Linked DNA regions of Caenorhabditis elegans. The protein of the gene in region 1 purifies or fractionates together with the protein of each later gene. This does not show direct contact. Each region holds a gene or a part of one and is shown on either strand. Other genes may lie near its edges.

Region 1 (8,113 bases):
GTAAGTTTCTCAGAACGTTGTTTTAAAAAAATTGCAAAAAAGATAGGAATCACACAGGATAACCTTGAAAATGGAGACAATGTTGAGAGAGACTCTAATTTGAATTTTGAAAGAAAAAATTACGGAGCCCATTGGATCGCCAATTTCTAAAAACGTTGATTTTCAAGTAATTTGTGTTTAAAGAAAAAGAAAACAAAAGTGGAAATTGTGCATCGAATCTTATTGGTTTTTCTCAAAAATCCGTATTTTCCGCGAAATTCAAAGTTACAAGAACATCACATTACGTGCGCTTTGAAACCGCCGTTATCAGAAACTGCAACAGAAACCAAAAAGATGAATTTGAACCTTTTGATCTGTTTTTCTGCTGCAAAAATGTTCTCTTCTCATGTTTTCATTACATTATTTCAACGGAACCACGTGCCCTCAACGTTGTGCTCTGTTGTGTACCTAGTACACAGAGTACGATCAATTTAAAATGATGATAATAAAAAGAAAAAGAAGAGAGCTGATACTATCTCATAGGGAAAACGTGGTCGCCTGAGGTGGAGAACGAAATGAACAATGAACTCGGTCAACAGTGAGATAGGGCAATCAAAACTGAACGATGATCGGATTTGAGAAAATAAACTTAGAGGGCAGAATTAGGACGAAATGTGATACTTCTCCAAATCAGGGATTCAAATTTCAAAAAAGTTTATATCTAAATTTCCAGATCTTCATCAACAATGAATTTGTGCCAGCCAAGTCTGGAAAGACTTTTGAGACTATCAATCCAGCCAACGGAAAAGTTTTGGCTCAAGTCGCAGAAGGAGATAAAACAGATGTCAATATCGCTGTCAAGGTTTAAATCTAAATTCGAATTTTAAAGCAATCTTCAAACTTTTCTAGGCTGCTCAAAATGCATTCCGTATCGGCAGTGAGTGGAGACGAATGGATGCTTCTCAACGTGGAGTTCTTCTGAATAGACTAGCTGATTTAATGGAGAGAGATCGAGTTATTTTGGCATCTTTGGAATCTTTGGATAATGGAAAGCCATATGCAGTTGCTTACAATGCTGATCTGCCACTTTCTATCAAGACTCTTCGGTGAGTTCGAATAGCATAAATTGGAGAATTTTGCTGTAAAAAAATCCCAAAATAGTCTGTAATTAAGAAGAAAACTCAGAAAAAACGAAAAACTTTACTGCCAAATGAGCAAAGAGATCTACAAAAATAATTTCGAATTCTCAATTTTATGAGAGAAAAAAATCGAAAAACAAAAATTTTTGATTGTCCGGACAACCGTAAATCAAAAAAAACTGTTTAGAAAATTAACAGCCAAAAAATGCAATTTTTTGAATCAAATTTTGTTTGTATTGATGAGAAAAATTAAAATTTATTGTAAAAAAAGGAAAAATGGCTAACATTAAAAAATAACTTTATTACAGTTATTACGCCGGATGGGCTGACAAGAATCACGGAAAGACTATTCCAATCGAGGGTGACTACTTCACTTACACTCGTCACGAACCGGTGGGAGTCTGCGGACAGATTATTCCATGGAACTTCCCACTTCTTATGCAAGCTTGGAAACTTGGACCAGCGTTGGCTATGGGAAACACAGTCGTTATGAAGGTCGCCGAACAGACTCCACTTTCAGCCCTTCACGTGGCTGCTCTCACAAAAGAAGCTGGATTCCCAGATGGAGTGGTTAATATCATTCCAGGTCAGTTTTGTAAAAATTGTGAGTTTCTCAAATAAATAAATTCCAGGATACGGACATACTGCCGGACAAGCTATTTCGTCGCACATGGATGTTGACAAAGTCGCTTTTACTGGATCAACTGAAGTTGGAAGACTTGTTATGAAGGCTGCTGCAGAATCGAATGTCAAGAAGGTCACTTTGGAACTCGGAGGAAAATCACCAAACATCATTTTCGCTGACGCTGATCTCAATGATTCCGTTCATCAAGCCAACCACGGACTCTTCTTCAATCAAGGACAGTGCTGTTGTGCCGGATCCAGAACATTTGTCGAAGGAAAGATCTATGATGATTTCGTAGCTCGTTCCAAGGAATTGGCCGAGAAGGCTGTTATCGGAGATCCATTTGATTTGAAAACTACTCAAGGACCACAAGTTGACGGAAAGCAGGTTGAGACTATTTTAAAATATATCGCTGCTGGAAAGAAGGATGGAGCTCAATTGGTGACTGGAGGAGCCAAACACGGAGATCAAGGACACTTTGTGAAGCCAACTATCTTCGCTAATGTTAAGGATCAGATGACTATTGCTCAAGAAGAAATCTTTGGACCTGTTATGACTATCATTAGATTCGACACAATGGAAGAATTAGTTGAAAAGGCTAATAACACTATTTATGGATTGGCTGCTGGAGTTATGACTAAGGATATTGATAAGGCACTTCATATTGCCAACGCAACCAGAGCTGGATCTGTCTGGGTTAATTGTTACGATGTGTTCGATGCTGCTGCTCCATTCGGAGGATTCAAGCAGTCCGGTAAGCTAATTTATTATTAAAATTTCTCCATGCCAAAGTTAAAAAATACTTTTTCTTTTAGGAATCGGTCGCGAACTCGGAGAATATGGTCTTGAGGCATACACTGAAGTAAAGACTGTCACCATCAAGGTTCCACAGAAGAACTCATAAATTTCTTGAATTTTCGCTTTCCCTGTAATTTTTGTTCCTTTTGCTTTTTTTTTTGAAAAATGTTTATTGCTCTTAATATACGTGTTGTATTTATCTATTTTTCACATATATTGAAAAAGAATTCTGAAAGAAATAGACACCTACAGGACGACTCATAAAAGTCTCGACTTCTTTGTGAATTGATTGATTCAGGACAAACGAATTATTACTCTGTACATTAGAGGATCAGTCGTAAAATCTTCAAAAGGCAAAAATTTTACGAGCTTCCGGTAGGTTACGCGAAATTTTAAAAAAAATTTGGAACGCTTCACGAATTTGCGTGTCATCCTTGCGCAGGGGCCATGCTAATCTTCTCTGTATTGTTCCAATTTTAGTATATGTTCTCGGAAGAACGAGACAGCCAGGACCAGTTGTTGCTTATATAGTGGCCACCTGCAAGGCGGCAGACATCTCGTGGGTTCCGCAATTCTCCGTCAAGCAACTCAAAAAGGGCAAGAATCGAACCAAAACTTGATACTTATTTCCGTCAATAACTTTTTAGCCAATGAATCGATATTAATAATTTTTTATGTGTTCGTTCTACATGTCATGTTTTAACAGGTAACAAAGTTTCAGAAAATTTGAAGCATTTCTAACGGAGATAATAGGCAAATTAGACAGCATGTTGCAGCACAATTATTTCACACACCTTAAAGGCGCACGCCATTTCACCGGCTGGTCTCGCAGCGAAGACGGCCTCTCCGTTATTTTCTCTTGAGGAAACGTGCGTTTCTGTGGTTTTACTTCACAAACAGTGCTTTTATTGATTATTTTTGAGTTTCAAATGATTAAATTACAAATTATGAATTTTTTAACCACAATAGCATATAAACCGCAGCCGTAAATCGATATTGTTCGACTAGAAATTCCACTTTTTCGAATTCAAATCTGCAAGTGTTCAACCATGTCATTCAATCATTATTGTCGGGTTTAAATTTCTAAAATTCTTCATAGCAATTATTAGGTTTCTTAAGACGTAAGAAAAACCTCATTTGTTTTTATTTTGTGAGTTTGTTTTATTGCTTTTTCTGATTTAAAAATCACAATTTTGTACTTTTTCATCAAATCACCTGATTTTTCTCTTTTTTTCTCAATTTTCACGTAAACAAGTTTGTTCCCCCTCCTTCTCCCCCCGCGTTCCGTTTTTCTCACAAATCTCAACTTCATTTCAAATTTTAAAGGTATCCGACATGAACCGTCTCGCTCAACCAGCTACCCGCTCGGTCGTCAAGACCTTCCAACGCAAATCCTCAGGATCATTTTACGGATCCAACAATGTCGAAGGATTCAAAGAGTCATATGTCACTCCACTCAAGCAAGCTCACAGTAAGTGTTTTTTTTTAAAATAAATAGTTTCTATTTTGATGTTCAAAGATTAAAATATATTTTTCAGATGCTAGCGAGACCTGGAAGAAAATCTTCTTCATTGCTTCGATTCCATGCTTGGCTCTTACCATGTATGCCGCCTTCAAGGATCACAAAAAACACATGAGCCACGAACGCCCAGAGCACGTCGAGTACGCCTTCTTGAACGTTCGCAACAAGGTAAAATATTCGTTTTTATCTTGAAATCTGCCATAGTTTAAAATTTTACTTAAAAAATGTTATTTAGCTTTCATGTCTTCCTCATTAAAGAAGTTATCGGCAAACTGTTTAAAAATGTCATCTTTCTGGCATTTTTCAAACTAAAAAGGATGACTGTGAAGTTTAATAATATTCAAAACGAATTAAAAAAAAAACAGTCGCTTTTTTGGAATTTTAATTTCTACAATCAAGCTTTTAAATGATTATACAATTTTATAATTTGGCGTTTTCTCAGTAATTAAAAAAAACGATTGGTCTCAATAAATTCCCAAGATGGTTAAAAATTTCAAAAAAAGAGTAAGAAAAATTTTAGCTAAATCTCCAATTTAGCCAACATGTTCTAGTTGCAGCTGCTGGAATACAGTTTTATTGAATTATTGTTTTGGTCTATCAGACTAAAATTGACCTAAATCGACGGAATAACGTAAAATTAACAACCAAAACATGAAAAAAGGATGATAATAAAATAAATACTCATTTCCGACGTTTGCAACACAGAAAAGTTGACAAAATTAAAGATTTTAGCAAAAACTTTCCTACTTTTTTGCAATTTAGAATCGCCAACATTTTTTTCTTGAAAATCAATCAATCCATTCTGAAAATGCATTCCTAATAAATATTCAATTTCAGCCATTCCCATGGTCCGATGGAAATCACTCATTGTTCCACAACAAGGCGGAGCAATTTGTTCCAGGAGTTGGATTCGAGGCTGACCGTGAGAAGCACTAAACAATGCTGGACGATACAATTAATCATCATATTTAACGTCATCCATTTGTGTGTGTGCTTCGAGTTGTTTAGTTTAACAAAACGAGACATGTTTTGCGCAAGTGTAGTTTCAGAATTGTATAAAAAGTCGAAAAAATTATTGCAAAACAAGAACAATTTGAAAAATATTCGTGAGAAATCTTTGAGCAAAGTCGGGAGTTTTCTTTTCAGACAAATGGATTATTGTGGCGACGAGAAGAATGCTGTTGTTTTGGCAGTGGCAAATGATTTGCACGATAGTGGATTTTATTCACTGAGACATTGCAATTGTAGCTCATCTGGAATTCAAATAATTTTCTTCAGATATTTTTATGAAAGAAATATCCAAACCTTGTGCTGAATATTTGTTCTTACTAGTCGATTGTTAGTTTCTTGAATTTTCCTGAAATTTGGGGCAACGGGGACTTTCTCGGCGCCTTCCATGCTCAGATATAAGTGTGACCACTCCTCGAACTGTAAATTTAGAATCAAAGTTTTTTATAGACTATTAAAAAACTTACATGCTCCTTTTTGATAAAAATAGGTTGATTCAGAATAATCCAAGTGACAGTCTCATGGCATCCAGGAGAAGTGAGAGATCCTTCATAAGTGATAATATCTCTAGTGAATGGAAGAAGTCGCCAAGGTTCGAAATCAGCAAGTTGGACACGTTGATCCTTGTAACTGATGCTAGCTGTTGCAATTGTTAGTTTGATGAGTTCTTGATTAGTTTCAGGTCCAAACTAAAATATATAAATTTGAGATTTAACACAATTTCTAACGAAGCAACTCACATCTACCAAAACTGATAAAATTGCAATTCCATGTGGAGACTTGGAGGCGCTCGTAAAATTTGGATACAAATCTGTATTATATGCAACTAATTGTACTTCCATCGGAAATCGTCGTCCATTTATTGTATGCTCACTTCCGTTCTCATTTTTACGACCCATATGAAAATCGATTCGTTGAACCCTGTAAAGCTTGAATGGTATATCACGCGGGTTCTTAAAACTTCGTTTTTGAAATCGAGGTGAAAGCGCGCTCTATAGCCAAATGAAAACGCTCCGCCCCCAAATAGTTGGGTCTCGTTAGGAATTGGCGAAAACTTGTGAATTCAAACTCTTAATAACGTCAATAATTTTTTTTGCACACCACTTCAACTAAAAGAGCCTTAAAACAACATAAACATATTTAAAAATGCTTGAAAATGTTTGAAATTATGGTTTTGCCGCCAATACCTAACGGGACCCAACTTTAGAGGGTGGAGCCTTTACATTTGACCGTGGAGCGCGTTTGCACCTCGATCTAAAAATCATTTCACTCACCGATACCTATAACCGTATAATGGACCACTTGTAATATTGACGGATGGTTTTTTAGAGGAATATCCTATTCGAACACGAACCATTTGACCGGTGTTCACAAATTCTGAGACAACCTGAAGTTGTGGAACTTGCGCGTGAAATATTATGATGTATACTACCCAGGCGCGAAATTTTGCGATGTTAGCTCCAAAAATACGGTTCCAGGTCCCTAATTTTTTATTACATGCGAATAGGTGTGCGCCTTTAAAGATTACTGTGTGTTTTCAAACTTTTGTTGATGTGGAATTTTAAACGATTTTTCATAGTTGTTTCGATAAAAAATATGTGTATTTTTGTTAAAAACTCACATGTAAAAATGTAACGCATAAGTTTTAAAGAAATCGTGAGATAAATTATTAGGAAAAAATTCAATTCCGCATAACTGAAAGTTTGAAATTACAGTAATCTTTAAAGTCTTTTAATGAGACCCGAAGAACTCGGGGGATGTCCAATTGGGGGGATTACCAACTCGGGGGGATTGGCCCCGCCCACAGAACCGTGGCTTGCAATACGCCCATTTCTGCAACTGCCGCACGGTTTTAAAATTATTTTTTCTTGTTAATTCTCGCTCTATTGAGAAAAATACAGTTTTAAAACCGTGCGGCAGTTGCAGAAATGGGCGTATTGCAAGCCACGGTTCTGTGGGCGGGGCCAATCCCCCGAGTTCTTCGGTCTCCTTTTAATATTTTAGTGAACGTCTTTGGAAGTCCGCCGCTTTTTATAAATTAACAAATCGATTTTGCAATCAAAATGTTGTCTTCAAGTTAAAAAATCTCAATAATTATTCATGCTCACCGGTAATTTATCCAACCTGACTGGCTTAACACTAGCATCGAATAAAAGTCGATCTGGTTGAATATCGATTGGTGATTGCAATCTTCCCTTCTTACACATCCACCAATCTTTCTCCACAAGACCCCAAAAATGGGGACCTCCAAAAACATCAGAATCATATGACCATTGATAGTTTTGACTAGATTTCAATGGAGAAATGTGACAAGTGAGAATGATGAGAAATAAGGGAAAATGGCTACATTCAAAGCGCATAGGAGATCTGAATTATTGAATTGAGTTGATTTTACTCATTTGTGAGATCTAGATCGTTAATTATTTTATAAATTTTCAGTTTAAATATTTCACCATCTTGAAGACCGAAACTTTTTAGCCTCTGAAAATTGAAAAAGACATGATCACCTGAGAAATAATGATTGCTTTCTTTTGCTTCGTCTTCTTCGAATTCGACTACTTGGAGATGGTTGCTATGTTATTAAACTCGGTCCTTTTTCTTCGAATAACCAATAGCAAAAATAAAGGAGTCTGTCTTAAATTGAGATACTGAATTTTTGATTGGAAATTCGAACACCCCCTCGACCTATTATTCTGAAAATAAAGAGACGCAGATATTGGGGGAAAGAATCTGAGAAAAAGGGAAAGAGATGGGCGACACAAAACGAAATGAGCGGAATTTGTAATGAGGATGAGAGTCTACGAAAAATGGGAAATTGAGATGTGTGTGTGGGGAAGAAAGAAGCATGAAAAGAAGAAGATGGAACCTCATAATAATGGGTTCATCCCCATTGATACAAATAAGACGAAGAATAAATAAATAAAATGAGAGAGGGAGCAAAAATATTGAAAATTTGAAGATGAAAAATGATTCAGGGACTGTAACATTTGAACAAGGTTTGGAAAATCTAGGGATCATTAGCTCAATAATTAGTTTTTTCGA
Region 2 (7,599 bases), on another chromosome or scaffold:
CAACTTACATGCAAACTTCTCCACTGAATAATGATTGAAAGTAACTACATGAGAGAGCAGGAAACCTCCAACAAGATGAGAAACAAGGAAGAACATTATTCTGCAAAATTAATAAAATTATCTAGAAATCTGCGTAAAAACCGTACCTAGTTGACCAATCGGGTAGGAAATACAATTGACCCAATGACCAAGCCCAGTGCAAAGAGAGACCAACCTAAACTAATGCAACATTTGAAAAATAATTTTTAAAAATGTACAAACCTGTTCATAAATCGCAGTATTTCTGTAATAGTCATAATAATGAGTTGGCATCTGACTAACAAAAATGATTGACTGAAGAAGCCACGAGAGACGGAGGAATGGTAACATGAATGTCCAATGAACATGTTGCCATCTGAATAGAGTCATAACCCATGAATCCTGAGAATAATTGTTGAGATGTTCTGCCACTGTAGCATAGAATGGGACTAAATCAAGATCTCCGTCTCGTCCAACAACATTTGTGGCTGCGTGATGCACATTGTGCTGCTCTTTCCAACCACCAGATGAGAATCCCTGAAGAATTAAGTGTGTTATTTATTCGGTTAATTATTGTGAAAAGTGAATAGTACATTATTGAAAATGTGACTTACTTGTAAAAAGTTTCCAACGAAATAGCTGGCCAAATCATTGTAGTATCTGTTTTTGAACAACTGATGATGTGCGAATTCATGGATTAACCATCCCAATTGTTGCCACGCAACTCCCATTAGAATAGCTGATGGAAGATAATATGTGTGGTATTGAAGGTAGAATGCAAAAAGAATTGTGAAGATTGTTTCAAGAATTTTTCTAATGTAGAACAAAGGAGATCCATCCATAAGTCCTTCTGCACGAACTCGCATACGTAGATCAGTGAAACTTTTATTTATTTGGGCAGATCGTTTCTCAGAAATATTGAAAGTTCCCATGTTCACATCATCAATTCCTTTGATTGGGTCATCCTGTAGATATTTTTCATATGTTTTGGATTATTATTTAACGGTATACTGCGCTAGAATTTTGAATTGAATTACTCGAAATCAGATTTCAAAAATCCCGTTTTAGGATAAACAGTAAATTTTTTGAAATTATTGTTACCTTAATATCTGGGATCTCTGGTTCTTGTGTAGGGCACTCTTTTTTCAATTCTGTCAGCCATTGATACGCTTCTTTAGAACCAGTATGGAATGTGTGGAATACGGTAGTGGCCTGCAAAATTATTTTAATGAAATATTCCGATAAATTGAATGTTGGCATGATATTATTAATTTTTATTTATGTCTTCCTCCTTTTTGAGAGACTAATCATTTTCTCGGATTATCTCTTTTTGGCGTTTTTTTTTATTAAACTTCACATGTGATGCACGTGATAAGGGGTGTTCTCTGTACATTGTTCACTGAATTTGCACATTTTTGTTCACAAGGAACAAATTTACGGGCACGTACACACTTATTTGAGTTACACGTAAATAACGATATAACAATCTAATAAGATATATATATAATATATATAATAATATATATAATAAGAAATATAAGAATAATATATAAGAATAACTAATAAGAATAAGATATAACGATATAACCGACCGCTTTTTATTTTTTTAATTAAATAGAAAGCTTACATCCATATTTTTATAGGTAGTAATTGCACTACCACCTGGATGTGATCTCAGGACAGCATCGTCAATTTGACACCATTTTCCATCAATTTTAATGAAGAATGGCTCATGCTCTTGCTCTCGTAATACCATTTTGATATCACAGCGGTGGGACCCAAGGAGGATTGAAAATTCCTAAAAAAACAGAAAAAAACGTATTTTTAGTAAATTATTTCAAAAGAAGGAGCAAAGGAAACGAATAATGTAAAGAGAGGGAGAGTTGATATTTCAAAACAGGTTTTTGAATTGACAGTAAACAAAGATCTTGCTAGAAATGAGTTTATGGGGTCACATGTCAGCTAATCGTAGTATGATCTCAAGTTTTTTGAGCACCTGTTCTCTGATATTAAATATGAACATTTTTCCGAAGAAACTTCCAGAAAACGTTCTAAAAATTTGAGAGACTAACTCATATTACACAGACGCGAAAATTCTCGATTTTTGCGACAAAAATACGGTACCCGGCATCGACACGACAAATTTTTGGTAAATGAGCAAAGGTGTGCGCTTTTAAAGAGTACTGTAATTTTAAAATTTTGTTACTCCAGAATTTTTATCGATTTTGCATAATTTTATCACGGTTTGTCAAACACCCGTTTTTATTTAAAAAATAATTGGCGTGTCAAGACCGTATTTTCGACGTAAAAATTGCAAAATTGCGCGCCGGGGTAGTACTTGAAAAGGAAAAAGAAATACTTTAAATGATTGCAGATGAATTTTGAATGATGAACCGCAGAAAAAGGAGATTTTTGAACTTTAGATGAAAAAACACCGAATTTATCCTTAAAATCTTGCAATAAAAACGAATAGTCATGTGTAGATCTATGTCATATGGTAGTAGTGCATATCACAAAAATATGAAAACGACATTTTCCTTTCAGAGACATTATCATTCATGGAAAATCGCGCCATTAATATTCTTTTTGCTCCTACCAAAGAGCACAGTGGTCAGAGGCTGATGAGACGAAGAAATGAGTTTTTGAGAGATGAAAAAGAAGAAAAGTGCGCTCTTCGTGTTAAAAATGAAGGATGAAAATTGGAAAATTAGATTTTAGCTAAATTCGATTTGACAAATAAGACGTGCACTTTGGCTCGCATCCGGGCTCAAAATACTTCCAAAAAATTGAAGAAACATGTTGAAATCAAGAAAAACGTTGAACATTTGTTACATCTCGTTTCCAAACGTTTGTTCATTGAAGTGATGTGCATTATAAGTTTACAGCGTTATCATTTTTAGACGCATAATCAAAAGTTGTGAACAAAAAAATTAAACTGATAAATAAAATTGAAGTGGTAAAAAGGTACTAGGATTGATGTATGAAAACTCTATGAAAAACTGGGTGAAAACCACACGAAGGTCACCTTTTCGGTGTGATCGGGCGATAGATTTTGCAAAAAAAAGTTCCGAATCGAGAGAAGAGATGGGAGAAATCGATGAAAATGTGGAAAGTTTTTTACAGAACCACATCACAATGGGATGATTTTTGAAAAACAGAACAAAGAACATGTTTCCAAACTGTAGAAAACATTAGGTCGAAATTAATGGATCTGGAAATTATTATGAACCTATAATCATGGTCTTAGGACGGAAGAATTTAGAGAATTAAACAATTTTTGAACAGAAACTTTGATAATTTGTATTTTGAGGTATCATTTCGGGCGAGCCAGTTTCCGTGATTTACGCAAGAAATGGTTTTTATTTTCCGCATAATTACCATCTAAAATGCATGTTGATAAGACGATTATAATGATAAGGCGGTCAAACTATGAGAGCAATTAATTTGATGGTGTCGCGAGGAAACAATCATTTGGCGCGTTCATATTGTTTTTGAAATGCATGAATTTGACGAGTTAACCACAGAAGACACAATATATATGATAATTCTACAATTATGTACACAATTTCCAAATAAGAAAAAAAACAAATTGGGAAACAAAAAATCCGGCTGAAAAATTAAAAAAAAAGGCTGCTGGCCGAACACTCATCAAATATGGCCTAGAAGTCTCCTTTGTGAAAGTTCTAGGCCAAGGCGTTTGTTCGAACAATTTTAAATTTATTTTTAATTGAAAACACTTTTTATTTTATTATAAGGTAGTATAACTTCATTTTTCTATTATATTCAGCCTATAACTTTGTTTCATCAAATATTAAACTACCCGCACACAGTCTAATGACACGTCGCCGCTCAAAAAATCGATATATTTACAGACATGTCGTCCTCCTCTTCATCTGAAGATGAACTTGAAAAGAAAGTGACTAAAGAACAGAAGAAGAAGGAAACCAAGTCAAAGGTGGTCTTGTTTTGAATTTGAGTTTGAAATATTGTCAATTTTCAGAAAAGGCAGTCAGAAGCCGTTGAAGAAGAGAAACAAGAAGTAAAGAAAGCTAAGAATGAGGAGGAAGTGTCTGGACGATTGAAAGACAGCGATGGAAATGAGGTAATTATTTTATTATTTATAAATGTTAAATAAATTGTTTCAGATGTTTGAGATCGGAAATCTTAGATACGCGACCGTCAGCAAGTTCAAGGGAAAGGAATATGTCAACATCAGAGAATATTACATTGACAGAGTAATTTGAAGTGGTAAAAGGCAAATCAATGCTTTGTTCTTTTCAGGATTCTCAGAAAATGATGCCAAGTCGCAAAGGAATCTCGTTGAGCAAAGCACAATGGGCAAATTTGAAAGATCTCATTCCAGAGATTGACAAGAAATTCTAATTTCCAACTTCAATTATTACATTTTGCTCCTCCGAATGATACTTACATTTCCATTACCAGAGTAATTTCCCACCGGTTTCATTTTGTTTTGTTGTTAAATGTTGTTTAGTTATTTTGAAAACCATGCTGACCCGAATGAAAATGTTTCGTCTCATCGCCAATTATTTGATTTTTCAAGAGAAAGTTGACAATGCTTTTAAATATCTATCATTTCCCTTTCTGATATCATATATCATCTAATACAATTTTAGGAGATGGCGGACCCGTTGAGTAAGGAGGAAGACATTCAACATCGTCCCGATTCTCCTCCCTTGGGTCTTTTGGATCCATCACGAATCCAAAATCCTCTTGCCAACGATCAACTTCATCAAGTGCCACAACAACAAAATCCGTCGGGATTTGTAATGCCCGAACAACCAAGACAACAGGTTTTGATTCATTTTAATTTTTCTGTTTCTATCAAAATTACAAATTTATTTTTTCAGCCACCGCCACAAACATGGCAGCGAACACCCACGATGAGCCCAGCCAATATATTCCAAGGAGGTGAGAACACACATTTTAAAAGTAAAAATGTCTAATTTCCTGTCAGATTCAGGATCAGGCACACCTGGAAGTCAGCGGAGTTCCACTGGAACACCGAACCATCAAATGGGCAATCCCCCACAACATCAACAACAACAATTCTTTCATGGAGGTCGGTTTTTGTGTTTATGAATATTTTAAATGAATTTTTATCTCCTAGAAAGTCCCGCACATTCGCAAGGAACTCCGATGACACCGCAAAGTGCTGGTATGCCTGGCTCAAATTGTGGGACCCCTCAGAGCGCCGGTGGTCCACCGACTTCCGTTCCGTACGATTATCAGCAAGCACAGATGCAACAGCAACAACATGCTCAGGTAGATTTTAATTAAGTTTTAATTTTAAAATTAATTTTTTCCAGGCAATGGCAGCGGCAGCAGCGGCTCAACAACAACAGCAACAACATCTTCAGCAACAACAATATGCCCAGAATCCGCAGCAAATGCACGATTCACCGTATCGGCAACATCAGATGATGCAAATGCATCAACATCCCGGACATCCATCGCAATATCCTCCGGGATATCCGCAACAGCAGGCGGCTCAGTGGCAGCAGCAAATGTATGCAAGGCAAGCTGCAGCACAAGCTCAGGCTCAAGCCCAAGCTCAGGCGCAAGCTCAAGCCCAACAAAGAGCGGCAGCACAGAGAGTTCCAGTACCGTATCCGCCAGGAGGTGAGTGAATTGTGTATTTTGTCTACTAATTTAAAACAATAAAAAGAAATGAAATAGTAGTTTTTAGCCTATCCACCTGGAATGCCTGGACCAATGACGCCTGGATATCCTGCACAAGCGCCCGCTGCTCCTCGAACGACCCCGGGCTCTGCCGGACCTGGAACAGGACCTCCAGGGACTCCACAACGTCCACAGTACCCTCAAGGAACAAATCCACAGCCACAACAAGCGCAGTTCACCTATCCACCTACACAACAGATGACACCTACTGGGCAGCCTCCCGGGTATCCCGGCATGCCTGGAACCCCTACATTCTCGTCTCCAGCTCATCAAATGTTTCGACAGGGTCAGCCAACTGCTCCACCAGGAATGCGACAGTACATTTCGCCTCAGGCAGGACAACAGCAACCGACCCCTGGAACTCCACGTATGATTGAAAACAAAAAGAATAACAATATTGCAAGTTTGTAAACTAAATACTTCAGATCGTTTTGCTCCGCCGGGCCCATCTGGTACTACATCGTCGCCGCATTTTGCTCCAGGAGCACCTGGTGCTGATTTGAGATCACCGTCATTGATGTCCCCAAATCAGCAATCTCAACAGCATACTCCCGTTTTACCGAGAAGCTTGCATAGTTTGTTTTATGATGTTCATTGAATATACATTCAGCATCAGAAGTGTACGGCATTTGGATAAAATACTGATAGCTAGCCTAAAACTCGGTTTACCCATCGTATACCATTTTAAACATAGGTACTTCCTAATCGATAGAAAACGTTGATTTTCTTCAAATGCAGAAACCACATACCGCACACCTCTTCAATTTTCTGTGAACAATTTTCTGTGAACAACATAAACCTTTTTTCCAGACGAAATGACATCTCATGGAATGCGTCCGATTGCTCTTCCATCCCAACCACTTCCACAAACCCAAGGAACACCTCAACCGATTCTTTCTGCATCATCACTTCCGCCTCAATCAGCTGGAGCCACACAGTTTGTGTATCGTCCACAACAGCCGAATCAAATGAATACAATGAACCAAATGAATCAAATGCATCACGATGTGAACCCATTCCCGATACAAATGAATGTTGATCCAGAACTTTATTTAACTGGTATTCACTTTCATTGCTTCGATTCGGAAAAGTTGTTTGAGGACAAACTCGATCGTAAGAATTTGGAATTTATGATTAAAGTAAGCTACAAATTATTATTATTTAATCATCATTCTATAAATTGTAAATTTTCAGTATCACGGAGGGGACATTGAATTTGAGGCTTCAAAATTCCATGAAAGAATCCATCAAATCACGCATGTCTTAGTTGATTCCTGTCGTAATACAAATGTTATGACATCATTGGAACATCGAAAGCGAATTGTCTCCATCCAATGGATTATTGATGTAATGGAACGAGAAAGAGTTGAATTACCTTGGAGAATTGCTCATTTACCACCACCGTTCAATGAAAATTTCAGACCATATCTCGGAAAGGTACAATTCTTGCTTTAAGGTTTAAAATATCTCATAACCAATGTTTTCAGCTTTTTTCATTGTCCGGCTTTGACAGTTCCGAACGTGCCGCAATTTCTTTTATGGCTGAAATGATGGGCGCAAAGATTACACCATTCTTAGCCAGGCAAAATGATTTATTAATTGCCAAACAGTAAGTTTACAATTACTGTAAGTTTTACAATTAGATGCCAGTTATCGCATAACATGTTTACTTTTACCCGATCGCACCGTATAGTTAAAACACTCCCTAGTAAGATCATTTTTAATTCGTAAAGTTTAGGCCAGCTGACAAAGTTACAAGAGCTCAAGAATGGAAAGTTCCTGTTGTAAATTTTCAATGGATTGCTGATGCTTATGTGTGCGACGAGGCGTCACCACAGAAAAGGCCAAATGTGGAGAATCCGAGATACCAATTAGAAAATC
Region 3 (8,156 bases), on another chromosome or scaffold:
TTCAATGTTTAAAAAAAACGAAAAAAATCAGGAAAATCGGGGTAAAAATTAAATTAAATAAAAATAGATAAAGAATATTAATCTCGTAAATCCACACCTGCGGCACGGTTATCATGCAAATTTTGTCGTTTGAATTTAAACCGAGGATTTTCGGAATTTAAAAAATTAATATAAAATCAGGGAAATTTTTTTTGAATTTTTCCAAATTGATATTCGGTATCAGGAACATAATTATGATCTATTAACTTTTTTAAAATTTTCAATTTCCAGTGACGAAGTGATTGGATTTGTGTCGAAATGCCTTCGAAAACTTCCAAGTGAACGAGCAACCCTAAAATCTCTCACCGCAGACGTCTTCTTCACACAATATGCAGATCACGATGATCAGGGAGAATTCGCGGTTTTTGTGAAGGGAACGATTAATCTACCAAAGTTGAATCCATAATTAATTTTGGATTTTTGTATATTTCGATGTCTCTTTGTCTCTCACTGTCTAGGATGCTCCAGCTCCAGGGGGTGATTCTACGAAATGAGCCAATATTTTTATTGATATTTTGTGATGGAAAATATTTAGAAAAATAATTCTTATATCAGAAAATAGCTACTATTTTAGAGTTGGAAAAATTGAAAAATGCCCAAAAATTTGTTAAAAAAAGTGATTTTTAGGCAGATTTGGCGAAAAACATAGCCGATTTTTTAAAAGGAAAATCGAAAAATTGATCATAAAATTTAATTTTGTAAATTAAATTTTGTGTATGTTGATGAGAAACAAAAAGAAAAATGGCCAAAATTTTAAGATATATTTGATTTTTTTTCTATTTTCCACAGTTTTTTGAGCATTTCTTCAATTTCTCAATTGCCATCTCGAGAGATCAATCCGATTTCTTTGCATTCGGCTCCTTCGGTGTCATTTTTTGAGTCGCTTTCTTCAGCGCCGTATCTGAAAGTATTCCTCTTTTTTTTCTTTAGTTTAGACTATTTTTCATTTACTTTGTAGATTTTTCCCCATTTTTCCCTCCACATTTCTGTCCCGCTTCTGATTAAGATTAAAGTATTTTGATTTGATTTTTGAATTTTTAAGTTTTTTTTCGTTGGTTTTTATAGTCGGTTGAAGCTCCCGAATTTGCATTTTTCTTTTATTTTTTATTATAACTAAGGGTTTCGTTGAGAAACTCGGTTTTTTTTCAGAGATGATCGAAAAAAAAAATTGTTTTTTGAGGAAAAAAAAAATTTTTTCATTAAAAAAGGCAAAAAATTATCGAAATTTTGAAAATGCCTCGAAAAAAAAACGAATTTTTTTTCAAAAATAAAAAATAAAATTTCGGATTTTCTCGGAGCAAAGCTAATATTGATGAGAAAAAGCATAGGAAACCCTGCAATTTTTTTCAAAAAACAAAAAAAAACGAAAAATTACCAACATTTTGAGAGATTTCTCGAAAAATAGATTTGTTTTTTTGGAAATATCGAAAAAAAAATTAGTTTTTATATTTTCCCGAAAATAATTGGAAAATTATGTTGTTTATATTCATGAGAAAAATCTAACATAATTTTATTTTAAAAAAAAATGACCAAAACTTTGACATATTTCTCGAAAAATCAATTTCCGGAAATCGAAAATTTTTTAACTAACTAAAAATTCTCATAGAAAAAAAAACATCATCGATTTTTACCTGAAAATCTAAAAAAAAAAGATATATATCGAGTATTTTTAATGTTAAATACAGAAGGAATTGGCAAAAGATGGCCAAAAATTATTTTTCCGGCAAATCGGCAAATTGCCGGAATCGACAATTTCCGGCAAATTGTGGCCTTGCACATTTTTTTGGAACTTTTGAAGAATTTCAATTTAAATAGGCAAAGAAATTTTTAAAAAAGGCATCCAATGAATGTTCTTACATCTATTTTAAAAAATTAAAAATTCTATGAAAATATCTAACGAAAAATGGGAAAAAATTTTAAAAAGGCACAATTTGGAGTGTTTCCGTTTTAAAAAAATCGCTCTACAAATTTCCGTCATATCGATATCCGGCAAATAGGCAATTTGCCGAAAATGAAAAATTCCGGCAATTTCCGCACACGCCTGGGTCAATCGATATTTTTCTCACAAAATTCAAAAAGCTGACTCACCCGGCTCATCAGGAGTTTTCGAATTAATATAAATAACTGTGAGAAAGACGAGAAGCGCGACGACAGGAATAAAAACGTGAACAGCTGAAAATTCATGAAAATCGGTTGAAATTAATTTAATATATTTAACTCACATTCAACGAGATTATAGACGGCGTCCATGTTTGACAGAGCCCCAAGTTGCCTTCTTGCTCCGAGAGAGAAAGAGCACACACTACTGCGCTTGATATCGATTTTTGTGTGCTGCGAAAAGCGTTGAAGAAAACGGAAAAGGAGACCTCCGTTACGAAAAAGATGTGAAAAAGACGAGAGAGGGGGGGGGGGGAGAAGCTCGGATAATAAAATGAATAAACTGGGAGAAAGAGGAAAAGACTTTTGTGGATTTTCAACAATTTTTTAGTAGCAAAGATTCGGAAAATTAGCCGATTTTCCTGAAGAAAAGTTAGTATGAATAAAAAAAATAAATTGACGAAATTTTTTTGAACTTGGAATCCACTTTCAACAATTTTTGAATACAAAGATTTGGAAAATTTGGCGATTTTTTGCGGAAAAATTAGTAGATGGATGGAATTTTGCTGAAATTTTGCTGGGATCCACCGAAAATAGGAAAAATAGCTTAAATTGCGAATAGGTTTTGCAAAAAAAAAATTTTTGTTGAATTTTTGAAAAAAAAGCAATTTTCTAGAAGAATATTTTATTGGTTTTATCTAGTTTTTTGGGAATTTTTTTTTGAAATTTTTCCAAAATCTGGGATTTTTCACCATTTTTCCTTTTTTTTGCGTGATAGTTTGAGATTATTCATGATTTTTCTTCTCTCGAGGCATTTTTTCGAAATTTATTCAACAAAAATTACATTTCATGGCTTTTTTGATCTTGTAGCGTGCCTTTTTATCCAAACAGTATTTAATTTTAGGATTTTTTGGGTAATTCTGAAATTATTACGGGAACACAATTCTAAAAATGCGTATTGCACAACACATTTGACGCGCAAAATATCTCGTAGCGAAAACTACAGTAATTCTTTAAATAACTACTGTAGCGGTTGTGTCGATTTACGGGATCTCGATTTTTGAAATTAATTAATTTAACGATTGAATATTAAAATTAATTTTCTTTAAAAAAAATCGATATCCCGTAAATCGACGCTACCGTATTCATTTAAAGAATTACTGTAGTTTTCGCTACGAGATATTTTGCGGGTCACTCAGAATTTTGCGTTTCCGTAATATTAGTGTGTTTCTTTTTTCGATTTTCCGATACTTAGACAAATTATTTTTTTTTTTCGAAACATGTCTATAAATTTTAGCTATTTTTCTTCTTTTTTTTTGAGAAAAATGTTTTTTTTCCTATTTATGCATTTCCTCATCGACATAAAAAAATTAACACAGATTTTAAAATTTTAGTTTTTTTTTCTAAAACATTTTCTGATTATCTCTGAAAAAAAAACCGAAAAATCGATATTTTGCTTCTCAACTCATAATAAAATTCCAAAATTCCAGAACATCCGCAATGGCAACTGGTAACCGTAATCCGGAGAACTTCACATCATTGTCACCAATCGTAAAGGCTCCAATAACCGATACTCTTTCGGTTCCACTCTCCCAACAGGGACGTATCTGCGGATTCTTTGAATCTCAATTCTACCGTTGTATGGAGGCTTACGGAGCAAAGATGGGACGCAAGTATTGTGATCTCGAGCATCGTGACTTCCAGGAGTGTGTCACTGGGGATAAACAGAAGAAGGTTCGATATCCGGAACAGAACTGTCGCGAAAAAAAATTGGACTAAAAAACAAAAAATTAGTGAAAACCAAATAAATTTGATCCCTTGAATTTATTCTTTTAACGGAGGACTAACGGTTCGGACGATTTTGAACGTATAGACCCAAAATGTTCTCAAATGAACGAATTTCGTAATGAAACTTTTCAAAAAATTTCCAAAAATTTTTTATGGCGGTTCAAACTTTTGAAAAAATTACACTGATTTTGGCTAAAATCTCGAATTTTGCCCATTTTTCCGTGTCACATCTGTTCGAAGTTGGCTTTTTTTGGAATTATCGTCCTTTATTACATATATTGGTAATTAATCTCATTTAATTTCGTGGATCAAATAACATTTAAAGCCGATAGGTAACCAATTTCGATGATTTTTGGTTACCTATCGGCTTTAAATGTACTTTAATCGACGAAATTAAATGAGATAAACTACCAATATATGTAATAAAGGACGATAATTCCAAAAAAGCCAACTACGGACAGATGTGACACGGAAAAATGGGAAAAATTCGTGATTTTAGCTAAAATCAGTGTTATTTTTCAAAATTTTGAACCGCCATAAAAATTTTTTAAAAATTTTTGAGCAGTTTCATTACGAAATTCGTTCATTTTCCGGAAATTTCTAAAATTCTAATTTAAAAAAATGTTCCTTCATTTTTCTGATTTTTGAGTTTATTTTCTCGTCTTCTTTCATGCAATTTTTCCGATTTTTCTCCTATTTCTAAAGAAAAGAAAAATCGAAAACTCTGAAAAATTTGGTTTTTTAACTTTTGGATTTTTTTTGTTGATAAAATCGAATATTTTTGGTTTTCGATTTTCCTAAAAATTTAAATGTGTGTTCTCCAGTTTTTTTGCCCTGAAAGAGAAAAAACTACCATAATCTTTTTTCTGCGCATCGAGACCCATCTGAATAAACCCGTGCGCCTTTAAAAAACATCACATGAAATTCCAAAATAATCGAAAAACAATTTTCCAGAGAGCTGACGCCATCCGTGAACAACGCTGCAAGCTGTTCCTCGACGGAAAAATCGCGAAGCCATACGTCGACAATCATCCAGAACCGGGACAATTCAAGACTGATCACTTCCAGTGGAATCGTATCAACTAGATACTTGAAGTGCCTTTAGTTTCGAGAGAAATCGCCTTATTTTTTGTAGTTTTCATTTCTTTTTTCTTTTTAATCTTTTCTAAGTACATAAAAAGATTTATAATAAAAAAAAAAAGAAGCAAGTTAAGAGATCAATAATAGTCCGGGTAACACATCCAATGACACAATAATATCTATATCTATAATGAAATATGAAATTAAAAATGGAAGAAAAAGTCGCCGCCACCACGGCCGCCACCACCACCACCGCCGAATGGATTAAATCCGTGGAAATTATGAAATCCGTGTGATCCTCCACCTCCACCTCCACCCCTCCCTGCTTCCGAATCCAGTGGATCTTGTCCATTATCGAAAGCTCGCCGCTTCTCCTCATTGCTCAAAACTTCCTTCGCCGCGGCAATATCGATAAACTTCTTCTCAGCTTTCTTCTTCTCCTTCTCATCCTGAAAGTTGTCCGGATGCCATTTTTGAGCCATTTTTCGATAGGCTTTTGTGATTTCTCGTTTATTGGCGTTCCGGCGGACTCCGAGAATTTTGTAGTAATCTCGTTTTCCGACGAGTTCCTTTGCACGCTTTGCTTGATCTTTTCCAGTTCGGACGGCGTCGTTTGATGAATCCCATTCTTCGGCTTTTTCGTAGTCAGCGATTGCTGGAAATTAGATTTTGATGATCGATAAATCCGTGAAAAGCAGCGCCGCACAGAAAAAGAGGCGGGGCTTATTTTTGCAATCCTGCGGCACGGTTTTTCCTCCTTTTTATTGATTTTTTTCAATGAGAAATTCTGAATTTCGTCAAAATTTTCTGTTAAAACGAAGAAATAGCGTGCGGAGGCTTGCGAAAACCTGCGCCGCACAGAAAAATAGGCGGAGCTTATTTTTGCAACCGTGTCGCACCGGTTTTTCCTCCTTTTTATTGATTTTTTTCAATGAGAAATTCTGAATTTCGTCAAAATTTTCTGTTAAAACGAAGAAATAGCGTGCGGAGGCTTGCGAAAACCTGCGCCGCACAGAAAAAGAGGCGGAGCTTATTTTTGCAACCGTGTCGCACCGGTTTTTCCTCCTTTTTATTGATTTTTTTCAATGGAAAATTCTGAATTTCGTCAAAATTTTCTGTTAAAACGAGGAAATAACGCGCGGAGGCTTGCGAAAACCTGCGCCGCACAGAAAAAGAGGCGGGGCTTATTTTTGCAATCCTGCGGCACGGTTTTTCCTCCTTTTTATTGATTTTTTTCAATGAAAAATTCTGAATTTCGTCAAAATTTTCTGTTAAAACGAGGAAATAACGCGCGGAGGCTTGCGAAAACCTGCGCCGCACAGAAAAAGGGGCGGGGCTTATTTTTGCAACCCCGCGGCACGGTTTTTCCTCCTTTTATTGATTTTCCGAATGAAAAATCCGATTTTCATTGAATTTCGTTGAAAATTTCTGTTGAAAATGAGGAAAAAACGTGCGGCGGCTTGCGAAAACCTGCCCCGCACAGAAGGTTGCAAAATTACGCCCCGCCCATTTTTCTGCGCGGCGCAGATTTTTTTCTCATGTTCAGCAGAAAAATTCGAACTAATTAAAATCGGATTTTTTTTGGAAAAAAAAAATTTTAAAAAAGCATTTCCAGTAAAAATCCATTTTTATTTGAATTCTGTTCGAAATTTCCTGTTAAAAACGAGGAAAAAATAAATAAAAGCGTGCGGCGGCTTGCAAAATCGATGTTCAATCGCTCCGCCCCCCACGACTGGGTCTCGTTAGGTATTTCGCGCCCTTTTTAAAAATGGTTTCCGTTGTTTTAATAATTTTTATGACGAAATTTATCCAATTTTTAGACATAAAACTCATTAAAAACACCCTAAAATTGTTAGAATTCATGAATTTCCCACCAAATTCCTAACGAGACCCAACGTTCTGGGGCGGAGCCTTTTAAATTGGCCGTGGAGCGCGCTTGCAGAGTAACTTCTAAAACGGACCCATATCATACTCCTCGTCTGCCATATAAGCTTCAGCTCTCTGAATCAACGTTTCCACATCAGAATCATCAAATTCCAGTACTCGAGTACACTGTTGAATGGCTTCTCCTAGATTTCCGTCTTCTCGATTACATTGACACATCAATCGGAAAATGTTCATCCGAATCGGAATTTCTTCGTTCTTTTCCAGAAGTTTTTCACCAGTTTCCAGGCATTTTGTCCATTCCTGTTGTTCGATTGATGCCTTCATAGAATCTAGGGATTTTACGATTTTCTTCAGTGATTTGTAGGAGGTGTAGCATTTTTTGTGATCCGGATTAAGCTTCAGACATTCGCGGATTGAACTGAAAAATTTGAATTTAGCTCAATTTACGTAAATTTGCGCGTTTTTCTCCTTCGAAAAGTGTTAAAATTGCAAAAAACGCAAAATTTCGACTATTTGAACGGATAAATCAAGAAATGTAGTATTTTTCGGCGAAATTTTTATAAAAATATGCTTAAAACATTGATGTGTTTTGTATTTTTTTCCAATTTTCAGCCAAAATTCAAGTATTTTTTGTCATTTCCAAAAGGATTCTTTTACAAAAATCGAATTTTTCTACTTATTTTGCTTTTATATTACGAGAACACAAAATTCTGCAAATGCGTATTACACAACATATTTGACGCGCAAAATATCTCGTAGCGAAAACTACCGTAATTCTTTAAAAGACTACCGCAGCCCTTGTGTCGATTTACGGGATCGATTTTCGAAAACTCTATCAATCGATAAATGATTCTAATTTATTTCGAAAATCGAGCCCGTAAATCGACACAAGCGCTACTGTAGAAATTTAAAGAATTACTGTAGTTTTCGCTGCGAGATATTTTGCGCGTCAAATATGTTGTGCAATACGCATTCTTAGAATTTCGTGCTCCCGTAATAAATGTAGAATTGAAAGGTTTTTTCACCTATTAGTCTAATTCGGAAAAAATCCGTAAAATTTCCGCATATTTGACTAGTTTTTGAATTGAAAAATCAATAAATGTAGATTTTTAGAGATTTTGAGCAGTTTTCAAAATGTGCTTAAATTTCGCCAATTCTCAGCCAAAAATCAAATTTATACGATTTTAACAGAAATTCTTCGCTTTTTTGTCTTTTCCAAAAGGATTTTATCACCAAATTTGCATTTTTCTATTTATTTGTCACCA

Evidence for each region. Proteins that work in one complex are often made in the same cells at the same time.
Region 2: the proteins of cox-6A (region 1) and T13F2.2 fractionate together in Caenorhabditis elegans (co-fractionation; one large-scale study listed by BioGRID). This does not show direct contact.
Region 3: the proteins of cox-6A (region 1) and nduf-5 fractionate together in Caenorhabditis elegans (co-fractionation; one large-scale study listed by BioGRID). This does not show direct contact.

The regions. Positions count from the first base shown.
Region 1 is NC_003281.10:5,077,859-5,085,971, forward strand, and holds cox-6A (Cytochrome c oxidase subunit 6A, mitochondrial), read left to right. Parts: upstream 1-3,867; 5' UTR 3,868-3,876; coding exon 3,877-4,012; intron 4,013-4,079; coding exon 4,080-4,231; intron 4,232-4,900; coding exon 4,901-4,999; 3' UTR 5,000-5,129; downstream 5,130-8,113. Other genes in the region: alh-1 (Aldehyde dehydrogenase domain-containing protein), read left to right, coding at 713-841, 889-1,085, 1,427-1,704, 1,751-2,497, 2,559-2,647; cah-1 (Putative carbonic anhydrase-like protein 1), read right to left, coding at 5,348-5,491, 5,539-5,760, 5,812-5,992, 6,346-6,458, 7,180-7,431. UniProt on the Caenorhabditis elegans protein: Component of the cytochrome c oxidase, the last enzyme in the mitochondrial electron transport chain which drives oxidative phosphorylation.
Region 2 is NC_003282.8:9,793,646-9,801,244, reverse strand, and holds T13F2.2 (Putative RNA polymerase II transcriptional coactivator), read left to right. Parts: upstream 1-3,890; 5' UTR 3,891-3,892; coding exon 3,893-3,973; intron 3,974-4,018; coding exon 4,019-4,120; intron 4,121-4,163; coding exon 4,164-4,253; intron 4,254-4,299; coding exon 4,300-4,401; 3' UTR 4,402-4,557; downstream 4,558-7,599. Other genes in the region: Delta(5) fatty acid desaturase fat-4, read right to left, coding at 9-100, 147-214, 262-555, 633-983, 1,120-1,230, 1,646-1,774; pis-1 (PAX-interacting protein 1), read left to right, coding at 4,656-4,829, 4,887-4,947, 4,994-5,098, 5,147-5,301, 5,346-5,658, 5,726-6,085, 6,144-6,293, 6,529-6,857 and 3 more. UniProt on the Caenorhabditis elegans protein: General coactivator that functions cooperatively with TAFs and mediates functional interactions between upstream activators and the general transcriptional machinery. Binds single-stranded DNA.
Region 3 is NC_003279.8:2,998,318-3,006,473, reverse strand, and holds nduf-5 (NADH dehydrogenase [ubiquinone] iron-sulfur protein 5), read left to right. Parts: upstream 1-3,626; 5' UTR 3,627-3,636; coding exon 3,637-3,870; intron 3,871-4,878; coding exon 4,879-5,010; 3' UTR 5,011-5,114; downstream 5,115-8,156. Other genes in the region: Dual specificity mitogen-activated protein kinase kinase mek-2, read left to right, coding at 271-445; Y54E10BL.3 (CcoQ/FixQ family Cbb3-type cytochrome c oxidase assembly chaperone), read right to left, coding at 873-940, 2,128-2,211, 2,262-2,289; dnj-28 (J domain-containing protein), read right to left, coding at 5,208-5,659, 6,966-7,309.